Alligator mississippiensis: one gene and its partners. The protein of the gene in region 2 interacts with the protein of the main gene of each other region in a biochemical or structural test. Links are inferred from orthologs where the notes say so. Each region holds a gene or a part of one and is shown on either strand. Other genes may lie near its edges.

Evidence for each region.
Region 1: the proteins of FGFR1 (region 2) and FGF6 interact in a biophysical measurement, tested with the Homo sapiens proteins (2 studies listed by BioGRID and IntAct, with this or other methods). The link is inferred for Alligator mississippiensis from reciprocal best matches to the Homo sapiens genes FGFR1 and FGF6.
Region 3: the proteins of FGFR1 (region 2) and NCAM1 form a complex in vitro, tested with the Homo sapiens proteins (2 studies listed by BioGRID and IntAct). The link is inferred for Alligator mississippiensis from reciprocal best matches to the Homo sapiens genes FGFR1 and NCAM1.

Annotation. Positions count from the first base shown.
Region 1 is NC_081827.1:142,599,328-142,603,076, forward strand, and holds the start of FGF6 (fibroblast growth factor 6), read right to left. Parts: upstream 2,265-3,749; coding exon 1,925-2,264; intron 989-1,924; coding exon 885-988; intron 1-884. UniProt on the Homo sapiens protein: Plays an important role in the regulation of cell proliferation, cell differentiation, angiogenesis and myogenesis, and is required for normal muscle regeneration.
Region 2 is NC_081830.1:18,134,870-18,138,618, reverse strand, and holds the start of FGFR1 (fibroblast growth factor receptor 1), read right to left. Parts: upstream 2,177-3,749; 5' UTR 1,997-2,176; intron 1-1,996. UniProt on the Homo sapiens protein: Tyrosine-protein kinase that acts as a cell-surface receptor for fibroblast growth factors and plays an essential role in the regulation of embryonic development, cell proliferation, differentiation and migration.
Region 3 is NC_081839.1:32,353,161-32,356,909, reverse strand, and holds the start of NCAM1 (neural cell adhesion molecule 1), read right to left. Parts: upstream 2,498-3,749; 5' UTR 2,156-2,497; coding exon 2,104-2,155; intron 1-2,103.

The DNA of each region.
Region 1 (3,749 bases), on a different chromosome or scaffold from region 2:
CCACTATTTTGGTATTTTATTAAAGAACTGAACCATTTTCTTGAAGTTACGAATACTTCAATGGAAATGACTTTGTAGTTTTTGAGAAAAAAAGGAAACAGCAGCAAACTCCAGACATTATGTGAGGTAGACTTCTTGCTTCTTGCAGGGCTGATCCCTTTCAACTGGAATATTCTGCAGGTGCTGCTTCTGCTGGTTGTTGAAATTATGGAAGCATTGCTAGGGATTTTAAAGTTGAATTTGCATTTGGTGATTACTGGCAAATACCTTTTGTCCAATGATGATGGTGTTTGTGGTTACTAGGATAATTTTATTAGTGATGAGATTTTTTTTCCCTCTACATTTTATCCTACCAAACTAGCCTCTGGAAGATCTCCCACATGCATATGGCTCTCAGGCCATTTCAAGGGGACAAATTAATTTGTTGGGGCATACACATTTTCCCTAAGTGGATGAATTTAGAGGTGACTTCCCTAGAAGAATTTCATGGAGTGTTTTTATTACTGACCAGACCTCCTGGCTCCGATGTTTATTTCCATATAGACAGTGTGTCCCCTCTTTCCATTCAGAGTGGAAAAAAACTCAGAAGATTTGGCAGGACCAAGCCTACATGCAGACAGCCATTCAAAGGTGATCAATGCCACCTTTTAACCAGTTCATGTTTCTTAAGTGCTCCTTAGAATGCCTTATGATAACAGCACACTGACAGCAATGCCAATTACCACAATGAACATTGTTGATGATGGTAAGTTAGGCTTGCTATAGTTGCACTGCCAGGGGATTTTTTGTGATGGAAAATAAAATTCCCAAGTTTTCTTAGTAACCATATTCTGGTCAATTATTAAGCGTCAAAAAAAGAAAAAGAAATTTGAACTTGTACTCACCGTTCCATATAACCTCCCTTTGTTGTTCATTGCAATGAAGAGGGCACTTTTCACACCAAACAGGCTAACAACACCTCTCTCTACGGTTGATATTTCTAAAAGACCTGAACAGACAGATAAAAGTTTAATTGTATGTATTTTACAGATAGCCAAAAGAAATTAACCAGAGATGCGCTATTAAGTTATAACTATTAACATCCATATGAGAATGTCGTGTAGGATTTAATTGAAAATTATATCCATAATAAGTATATGCATATATATATAGATATATATATATGGAGAGAGAGAGAGAAAGAGAGTTATATCTATATATACGCATACACATACATGCACACACACACACAAACAGACTCTCAGTCCATCTTACATTCTATAGGGTTTTATAATAATGTCTTTGGACCCTTATTCATTTTCTGTAGAATTTCACCGGTTTCATTCTTGCTAAATTTTCCAAGACTTTCTTATATAAGAATAATCCCTATTTAAAATGCCATAACCAAGAGTGACATCCTTGCCAAAAGAAATGTGGTTTATATAATGAAATTCACCTTAATCAGCTACTTGTAAATGGCACTTTTCAACAAATCCAAATGAACAGTAAAAATTATTTATTTGATAGTAACAGCTGTGCACTTTCAATTCCTTAGCACCTCCAATGTGCAAGAAAATCACCAGGCAAAAATCAAGGTAATATCTGTGAGTGCATGAAAGCCTCCAGGTTCAAATGTCAGGGGAAAATGCACAAGAGTAGGGAAAAATGCATCAGAAATAAAGTTTGCAAATGGATTTAACTTTTCTAGTCTGGGAAGGAAAGCAGAGTAAAAATAAATTGGTATCTAATTTTGTCCATGCATTCATTACATGTTTTAGCCTGGAGGTTTCTAGTGCTGATTTATCCTAAAGACTTTTAAAAGGCAACAGATGTAGCTTAGATTGAGAATATCAAGCAATAACATTTGCATTCTGCAAAGGGTAATTACTCGAGTTCACTGCAATTAAGTGACATCTATGCTATTTCATTTTTGGATGCAACTCACTGTATTGGCTTTCATCATGAACTCCGCTTATCCTTCCGTCAGGAAGGATTTGAAGGTGAAACCCGATGCCCACGTTGCAGTAAAGCCTCCGCTGCCTCTTGATTCCTAGCAAATAGTCACTCTCCCAGTTCACCTCGGATCTCTCCCCTGACATCCCAGCAATGGACCTGGACAACAGAGACTCCCATCCTCTCTCCAGCAAGGTGCCGTTAGTTCTGCTGACAACTGGATATGATGAAACAATCCCAGAGAGAAAACCCAGAAGAACAAAAGCAGGCAACGTCCAGTGAACGCTGGCTTCGCAGGACATAGTGATGAGGAGTCTTTGTGCTATGGCCATCCGGTTCACCTCCTGGGCACGTGGTCAGAATTAATGGCCCTAAAAATACCTCCCTTCTTGTTTTTCTCCCTTCAGCATGGTGGCAGATGCTTATTTTTGGAAGGCAGATAGGGATTGCTGACATGAAATGAAAGCCTGGGAGCAGTTGGGTTGGAAGCAGAGACAGGCCAGCAGAGCCCAAACTGGTGGAGACCATGTTTTGTAGCTCCTGCTCTCCAGTGGGGCAGCCTGGATATATTTGATTGACCTATCTTTATAGTTCAGGGTCTGTCCCACCCTACGGCATCACTCTGACATCAACAGCTTGCCAAAGGTACACTTGCCGCAGCTGTAACACTAACCTGCTCGCTACTGTCATCCAAGACAGGAGGCCGGAATGAGGTTTCATTGGGCAGTCAGTAGGCCGTATTGAATGCTAAAGGGACAGATCAGTTGGATGGTCAGATATCTCACAGATGGCTTCCTTATTTAGAGAAGAAGGTGTAAAAACAGTCATGGACCTCACCAGAGAGTAATGAAAACTTTGCCAGCCGCTTCCTCGGCAGTGTGTTCACTGAGTTTACATTAGGATCACTTGCACAGAGCAAGGCAGCGTTAGGGGAGAATGAATCTTTACACAGCAGGGTTTGTACTTCTTTTCTTCAAGTAGCTAACAAATCCACGGCACCTCTTACTGAGGTAACTAAGTGCAAATAGCAGGCCTGCACCTTCAGGAAGACAGTTTTCATTTTGGCGGCGGTGTTCTTGGCTAGCCTCAAGATTGCTGAGCCATGGCCTATAGCAATAAATGCTGTAGATAGAGAGTTGATGGAAGGTCTCATCCTACAGTTTTTGCTCAGGCAACAATCTCACTAGCTACACGGGGAGTTTTTACTGAGTCAGGAGTGTAGAAGTGGGAATCTGACTTTGCAGCTGACCACTCACTGCACTAATCCATACACATGTCAGTAGCCATGTTGTCCCCTTTGGGACTGCTTGGACAAATAAGGTCTACTCAGAAAAACAAGGATTACTGAAGCAAGTGAAGATCAGAGTATGGGACCTTGGGTCTTTAGGGCTTTGATGCTTCAAATGCTTAAGCAGGTGCCTAGGTTTTATTCATGTGCATACTCAAATATCTGCTAGATTGGACATTTGGTAGCATATTGAAGAGAGAGAAGAAAAAAGACAGCCACTTCCCCTCCTTTTGTACCAGTGTCAGTTTTCAAAAAATTGATTTAAAACCCAGGCATAGCCTTCCTGTAGCCAATTGTGATAATCTCTCTCTCTCTGTTTTCCTTTAGTGATAGCCAATTTTCGAGAGTATCTCACTTCCTCAGGAGGTTTTGCTTTCATTTTTACCCATTATCCTTTGCTGTTGTTTTAGGTTCTCCTTGACTTGAGAGGTGAGACTACTGTCTTCTTTTGTTTAAATGGCTAATTAGGAGGTCTGATCAAAATCAACCGGGAGGCAGGAGGAAATCAAATTGTGCAAGACTTTTCACA
Region 2 (3,749 bases):
GTAAAGTGGAATGGAAGTCACCAGGCAGCCAGCGTTCAATGCTGACAGATTTGTGGGTCCCGAGGAAAACGGCTGCTAGCCTGGAGCCGGAGGAGAGCCTTGCTGCTTCCTTGACCGTTCCAGGGCAGGGACTGTCTTGATTTATTTTAATCCTCTCCGAGCAAGACAATGGAAAGGCACCGGTGCGTGCCAGCCACCCCGGAGATTAAGAGGGGAAGTGCTTCTGTGTGGGGAAAAATGGCTGTCAGCCCCAGCAAAAAGCAAGGGCCCTCTCCACTGATCTCTCAAGACTTGGCAGGACCCCGTCTCCTGCACACAAGCACACACACACACACACCTCTGTTTGCACACTGCCTTGGTGGGAGCTGAGGGGAGCTGGAGCAGCGAGGTTTGTTCAAGTCTGAGAGCGAATTTGGCTTCCCCCATGTTGGGGACGCTGGGAAATGAAACCCTTCGCAGCATACACACTGTATCAGCCAAGGCGGGGGTAAAGCACGTCTTAAAGTTCAAACGTTCACCAAAAGGAAATGGTATGTTCAACCAGAACAGCTGCCCCTGCCCCCTGTCCATTCACAGCACATCAGTTAGTTATTCACCGCCTCCAAACACGGCACAGGAGCAATAACAGGCACCCTCAATCGCTAACAGCAGGAACTGAATAGGTTAAAAGCAACTACGTGACTCAAGGTTTGGTTGGAAGAGGTACAGTGGTTCCTCATCCCCACTGGGGTGGTTCACACAACGAACCAGCACAGGAGAATTGCAAATCTCGCCTCTGAAAATAGCAGCTGACTGATGCACTGGGTGGGTTAGATCCCTATACCACGTCCAGCCAAGGGAACGGCTTGCCAGCCCGGAGCGAGCATTCACCACTCCCGAACAAGAGGGATTCTCCAACGAAAACTGCAAACGGCTCTGAATAGGGAATGACAGACCCTCACCATCTGGCGGTGGGCCATTTGGGAAGGGAACAGTCCCAGTTGGTTGTAAAGAGAGAAGTCAAGAAGCGCAAGTCAGCTCCCTCTCCAAATCACACTGTTTTAAAGAGAGGTAAACATCAGGTTCCTATTTGCTGCTGATTTTTGAGCCTGTAGGGCTTGTGTTTGCTACCTCCCTCTGCCATGTAAGGGCCAGAAGTGTACTTTAAACAAACAAAATGAGGAGCCAGTATAATCCCAGGACTCCGAGCCCTGGGACTTGAAGAAAAACACCCTGGTTCTCTTAACACCTGTGACAAAATCCTGAGAAGGCCACTTGGCACCCAACAGTGATTTTCAGAACTGCCCAACACACCAGGCCCTTGCCGCAGAGGCGGCTGGGCTCGGTCTCCGCAGGCCAGGCCGGGAATCCGGTACCATCACAGCTACTCCGCGGTCGCACGCCGCGCTCAGAGTCCAAAGCTCACTTTGCACCGGTTCATCTTCACCAGCGCAAAAATCCTGCTGCTGGCACGCACTACGTCTCTTGCTGGGTCCAAGTGCCGGCAGGAAGGGCTCCCAGCAGTTTTGCTCTTTTGAGGATGCCATGCAGATGTGGCCCAGGTGGAGAGGGCAGGAGAACGGCCCCCAAACCCAGGCGCGTCCCCTCCCCGCCGCCTGACACCCGTGTTCCCGGAAAGGAACCAAGTGCCTCTGACAGCAGACAGATCCCCCCAAGCACCTCGCGCCCAGCCGGGTACCCGCAGGCCCCTTCACCAGCCCGCGGGGGAGCACCTCCGCACGGGCCCCAAGGCAGGGATCTGCTCACCCAAGAGCAGGAGCGAGCGAGGCCGGGTGTGGGGAACAAAGCGGGGCCGGGAGCGCGGCTCCCTCTGCCAGCCCGACCCGGGCCAAGCCGCCTCCGCGCGGCCGGGGAGCAGCACCTCGGACGGGGCCGGCCCGGAGCCCGCGGCCCCGATCCGGCGGCTCGGCGCACGTGGCCGCCCGCTCGCACTCGCACAAAGGCGCCGCGGGCTCCGAGTTGGCGCAAAGTTTCCCGCGGCGCCGCCGCTACTCACCGTGCGGGCCGGCCCTGTCCCGGCGCGATCCGGCCCCGGCAGGCAGGGCAGAGGCGCAGCCCCCCGGCCGCGCGGTCACAGCCCCGGCTCCATGCGGGGGGCGGTGCGGCCGGGCCGGGCCGGGCCGGGAGGTGCTGCGGGAGCTGGGCGATGCGCGGCCGCTGCCGGTGCCCGAGTCCCGGCGCTGCCTCCGCCGCCTCCCGCTCGCTCCTCCCGGCTCCGCCTTCCCGGCTCCGCGCCCCTCCCGGCCCGGCCCGGCCCGGCCCGCCCGGCCCCGCTCCCACCGCCGCCCCCGCGCCGCCAGCCCGCCCGGCTCGGCCTCGTGGGCCTTGTAGTCCCCGCACCGACCCGCTCGCACACCTGCGGGGGGACACACACGCACCCCTGCTCGTGGACACACACACACACACACACACACACACCCTGCGGGCACACCTGCTTGTGGGGACACAGACATGCACCTCCTGCTTGTGGACTTGTGGGCACCCCTGCTTTTGGGGATACACACACACACCCTGCTTGTGGGCATGCGGGCACCCCTGCTTGTGGACACACACACCCTGCTTGTGGACATGCAGGCACACCTACTTGTGGGGACACGCACCCCCTGCTTGTGGACACACGCACATCCCCCCCGCTTGTGGACATGTGGGCACCCCTGCTTTTGGACACACACATACACACATACCCTGCTTGTGGACATGTGGGCACCCCTGCTTGTGGGCACACACACACCCTGCTTGTGGACACACATACACACACCCTGCTTGTGGACATGCAGGCACACCTGCTTGTGGCAACCCTCCCCCCCCACCCCGGTGTGGACATGTGGGCACACCTGCTTGTGGGGACACGGACACGCACCCCCTGCTTGTGCACATGCGGGCACACCTGCTTGTGGGGACACACATATATCCCCTGCTTGTGGACACACACACACACACCCTGCTTGTGAACATGCAGGCACACCTGCTTGTGAACATGCGGGCACACACACACTGATAAAAATCACTGCTCAGCAGATGTGCAGCGTGCCGGAAGAGCAGGCCTGGTCAGCACCGCTGTCCCTGGATGGACTGCAGCTCTCACAGGTCTCCTACTCCTGGCTTTGGAGCGGGGCCGCTGCATCCTGAGGGCTTGGTGCAGAGCTGACTAGATCCTGGAGGTATGCACCGCTCCATCAGGGGCTTCTGGAGAAACACAGTGCAAAGAAACCCTCTGCTTGTGGGCAGCACCCTGCCTTCCACACGCTGCGTGCGGGGGAAACATGCTGCACATGCTGCTATGCCACGGCCCTCCCCCAACTCTGCTCAGCTTCAGCATCCTCAGGCTGCCGTCCCCCAGGCAGGGCAGGGTTGAGAGGGAGGGAGCTTCCCCCAGGCCGGGGGTGCCCGGGCTAGTGCTGACTGCACAGGGAGGTTCAGTTCTGACTCAGGAAAATGGGCAGCCAGGCAGGCCTGAGTGAGACTGAAGATAACTCCTGGCAGGCAGAGGAAGATGTGTACCAGGCAATGTGCAAATGATTACATGATAATATGGACCAGGACAGACAGAATTAGCCCTGTCAATCACCGTGACCAGATTTGAAGCAAGTACTGGGCATCCATCTCTAGAACCAGAGCAGTCCGTCCCCGGCTTGGGCAGCTGCTCAACTATGGATGCCCAAGCCTGTTATTGCATGGGCTTTTTTTTATTGCTGGGCTTGATTGATAAATACCCGTGGATGCAGGGAGTGAAGGGAGGGAACTGCACC
Region 3 (3,749 bases), on a different chromosome or scaffold from region 2:
TAAAGCAGGATCCCTTAAGACTGAAGGCACCAGAGGTGGGCTGGGTGTTGCTTGTATTATATATTGTGTTGTTGCTTTGTTTGGGCTTTTTAATATTTTGGGGGGGGTTTTTTCCGTTCTCCATACAAGGCTGACTTAACGGTCAGATTCGATCCTTGCCGCTCCTTAAGCACTCCGGCATTTGTTAATGTTATTACTGGAAAAATAACCTTTTGAGTGGGGCAGCAGGTGATATGTGCATGTATATATATTTCCCTTTTATAAAGCATTGCTTACCTCAGTCTATGTGTTGGAAAACCCACTTTCTTCCTCCTCCACATATTGAGAATACCTTGCATGAATGTGCCTGTGTGTGCAATGGCTGGGGAAAGGTAGGTGTCTAGCTTTGCATGCATGCATGTGTGACGTGGTGGCTGGGGAAAGCGAGGTGTCTAGCTGGATAAAGGGGGAGAAGAAGAAGGTACCTGGTGATAGCGAGCAGAGGGTGCGGCGGGGGAGCATGGTAGTGTTAAGCCTTGAGCATCCAGCGAGGAGTCAACACTCTCCCTATTGGGATTTTAATCTAATGGGGAATAATGCACATTAAAAAACCCACTCAAACAGCAGCTTTAGAGCAATGCCTAGGTTAGGAGGAAGCTGTATAGTAACATGGGATGGGGTTGTAGCTGGGGTGCGTTTCAGGCGTGTCAGGAGCAGAAGCAGGACAAGGCAGTGACTGTGGGTGCCTGTTGGCAGCTCCGATTAGGGACGGTAGTAATTATGCAATCCCTGAAATGACGGTGGTTGGTCCTGAACATGGGTGGAGCAGCGGTAGCCATGATTGCCCAGACACAGGCAAGAACCGTCAGCCGGTGATGAGACCCTGGGGAGTGGGAACAGCTGCGACCAAGGTGGGGTGGGGTCGTTTTGGGCAGGAGCACAGGTGTGTTGCAAAGGCAGGGCTGTGCCATGGCAGCTGGAGATTCCTGCTGAGGATTTGGGGGAGGGCTGCCGTGGACCAGACATAGGATCCCGATGGCAAGTTGGGGGGCAAACATACGGGGGCAGGTTGATGGGAGCAGCTGCAAGCTGGAGTGCATGGGGCTTGGACAAGCCACTTTCCAGCTGCTGTGGAGGGCGGCAGGGCCCTTGTGCATGGCTGACTGGGCGAGGTGGCACCCCAGCTCCAGGGGAGCCGCATGATGCCAGGGGGCAGACACACACGGGTGGGCGCCCAGCTCCAGGGGAGCCGCACCTTGTTGGGGGGCAGACACACACGGATGGGCACCTATCTCCAGGGGAGCCCCACAATGAGGTCACTTGACCCTGGTGCTCTTTCCTGCCCAGGGCAGGGGGTTGGACAGGTCCCTTCTGACCCTAGAAATCTCTGCAATCTACCACGCCAGGGGGTGTGCACGGGGCAGGGGCACAGAGGGGAATGCATGGGGCAGCCTGGCCACAATACGAGCCCCCCTCAGGTGAAGCTGGCATGCGAGGGGAGGTACTGAGGCGAGTGGGGGTCAGCCTCAGGGGGCGGAGCCTCGGCGAACGTTGGGGCCCGAGCCCTAACGGCGTTTCCCGCTCGGGGCCGGCGGGCTTTGATTGGCTGCGCCGCGTTCCATTCCTTCCCCCCTCCACCCCACCCACACACACACACACACACGCACAGAGCGATTCCCCTATCGCGCGGCATCTCCGCACCTTTTGCAGGCGAAGAGGAAGAGCATCCTCCTCTTTCTCAGCCCCTCACGCTGTATCTCCACTGTGGGCATTCCCCCCCCCCAGAAAAAGTCTCCATTGTTTGCTGTGTGCTCAGCTGCAGGCAGCCCCTTTTCACACACACCCCCCCCCCCCAAAAAAAAGAAAAGAAAAATGCCCCCTGCCTCAGCAATGCAGCAATGAAGGAGGGAGCGCTCCAGCCCCTGCCATGCCCTGGGGGGGCATAAATCTGTGCAAGCTCTGGGCTTCTAGGAAACACACACACACACAAAAGCAAAGCCCACTGCCTCCCTGCTCGCGCACAGCAGCCTCCAGCTGCACCAGCAGCCCCTCAGACATGCAATGCCCCCCCTCTTCATTAGCAACCCCCATGCATCTCCCCCCACATAACACAGATGCACGTACCTGCAGTCCCGAGGAAAAATAAAGCCCAGATGAGATCCTTAGTTTGCAGCATTGCAATCTGCTGATGGAGAAGTTGCTTGCAAAAATATATATAGATAGGTTTCCTTCAAGAGGAGCTGGTGCAGATGGGCATTCAGATGCAATGCAAATTTTTTATTTTTTTTTTAAGGATTATTATTGTTGTTGTTGTTGTTTTGTTCAAATTGGGTTCGGGGTATTTTTTTATTGGATTTTGCCAGCTGCTCTCGAGCTGCTTGCAGGAGCTGATCAGAGAATGAGTGACAGTCCCAGCCTCAGCACACACGCACAACAGAGATCCCTGCGCCGTCCTGGATTTGCTTTGGTGGGGTTGGAAGGGAGAAGGGGGTGGCACCTCACTGTGTTCTTCCACCCATGCTGGCCACAAATAGTACAGTGCAATAAGCATCAAGGAGGTACTGTAGAGAGACACGGGAGAAACGGTTGCAGCCGCCTGCAAAAGATGGTCTGGATCTGCACCGGGACTCACTCGCATCTACAGCAGGGGGTTGCTGCTTGGCTTGGCTTGGCTTGGCTTGGCTTTGCCAGGGAGCTCCCGGAGTGACATACAAAAAACTTGTCTCGGACCAACACGGCTAGCAAGTCTGCCCCTCTCCAGAAGGATGCATGCACATTAATTTTAGTCGGGCTAATCAAAGAGATCACATCCACCCAAAGAACCTCGCCTGATATATCCGTGCCATTACAATCTTTGCAATTCCCTATGCCTGATGAGATGTGCCTGTGTTGCAAGCTTGCAAATAAAGACAATTTTCTTGCAGATATCTAATTAAAAAAGATTGCATCCACCCAAAGAACCTTGCCTGCCACATGCACATAGTCATGTCATTTAAAATGACGAGTGTCATGCTGGGCATGGATATGAATTTTGATTTCTGCAACTTTTAATAAGCTTTGCAATCTTCCATGCCTGATGAAGGTGCCTGGGCGGAAAGCTGAATTATTTTTGCAAATATCTAGTTGGTCTAGTAAAAGGGATCACATCCACCCAAAGAACCTTGCCTGCCACATGCACATATTCATGTCATTTAAAATGACGAGTGTCATGCTGGGCATGAATATGAATTTTGATTTCTACTTAGTCTCCTATGCCTGATGAAGTGTGCCTGTGTTGAAAGCGTGCAAATAAAGATTTCTTTTGCAAATATCTAATTGGTCTATTAAAAGAAATTGCATCCACACAAAGAACCTTGCCTGCCACAAGCACATATAAGGCATGGCATTAAAAATGACAAGTGCCATGCTGGGCATGAATATGAATTTTTATTTCTGCAATTTCTACAGTCTTTGCAATCTCCTATGCCTGATGAAACATGCCTGTCTCAAAAGCTTGCAAACATATATATACATTTTTTTGCAAATATCTAGTTGGTCTAATAAAAAAATCTCACCTCTGCCACGAGTTTTGATTCCTTTTGCCTCCAGTGGTTCCCAAACTCTGACAGATTGCACACCACCGATTCAAAATGATACAACCTTAAGTACCACCAGCAAATTTTTGTTATATAAAGTAATTATAATAAATCTGTTAATGGGGACCACTGACAGGTTGTCTGCGTACCACCGGTGGTACCCGAACCACAGATTGGGAGCTGCTGCTGAGACCA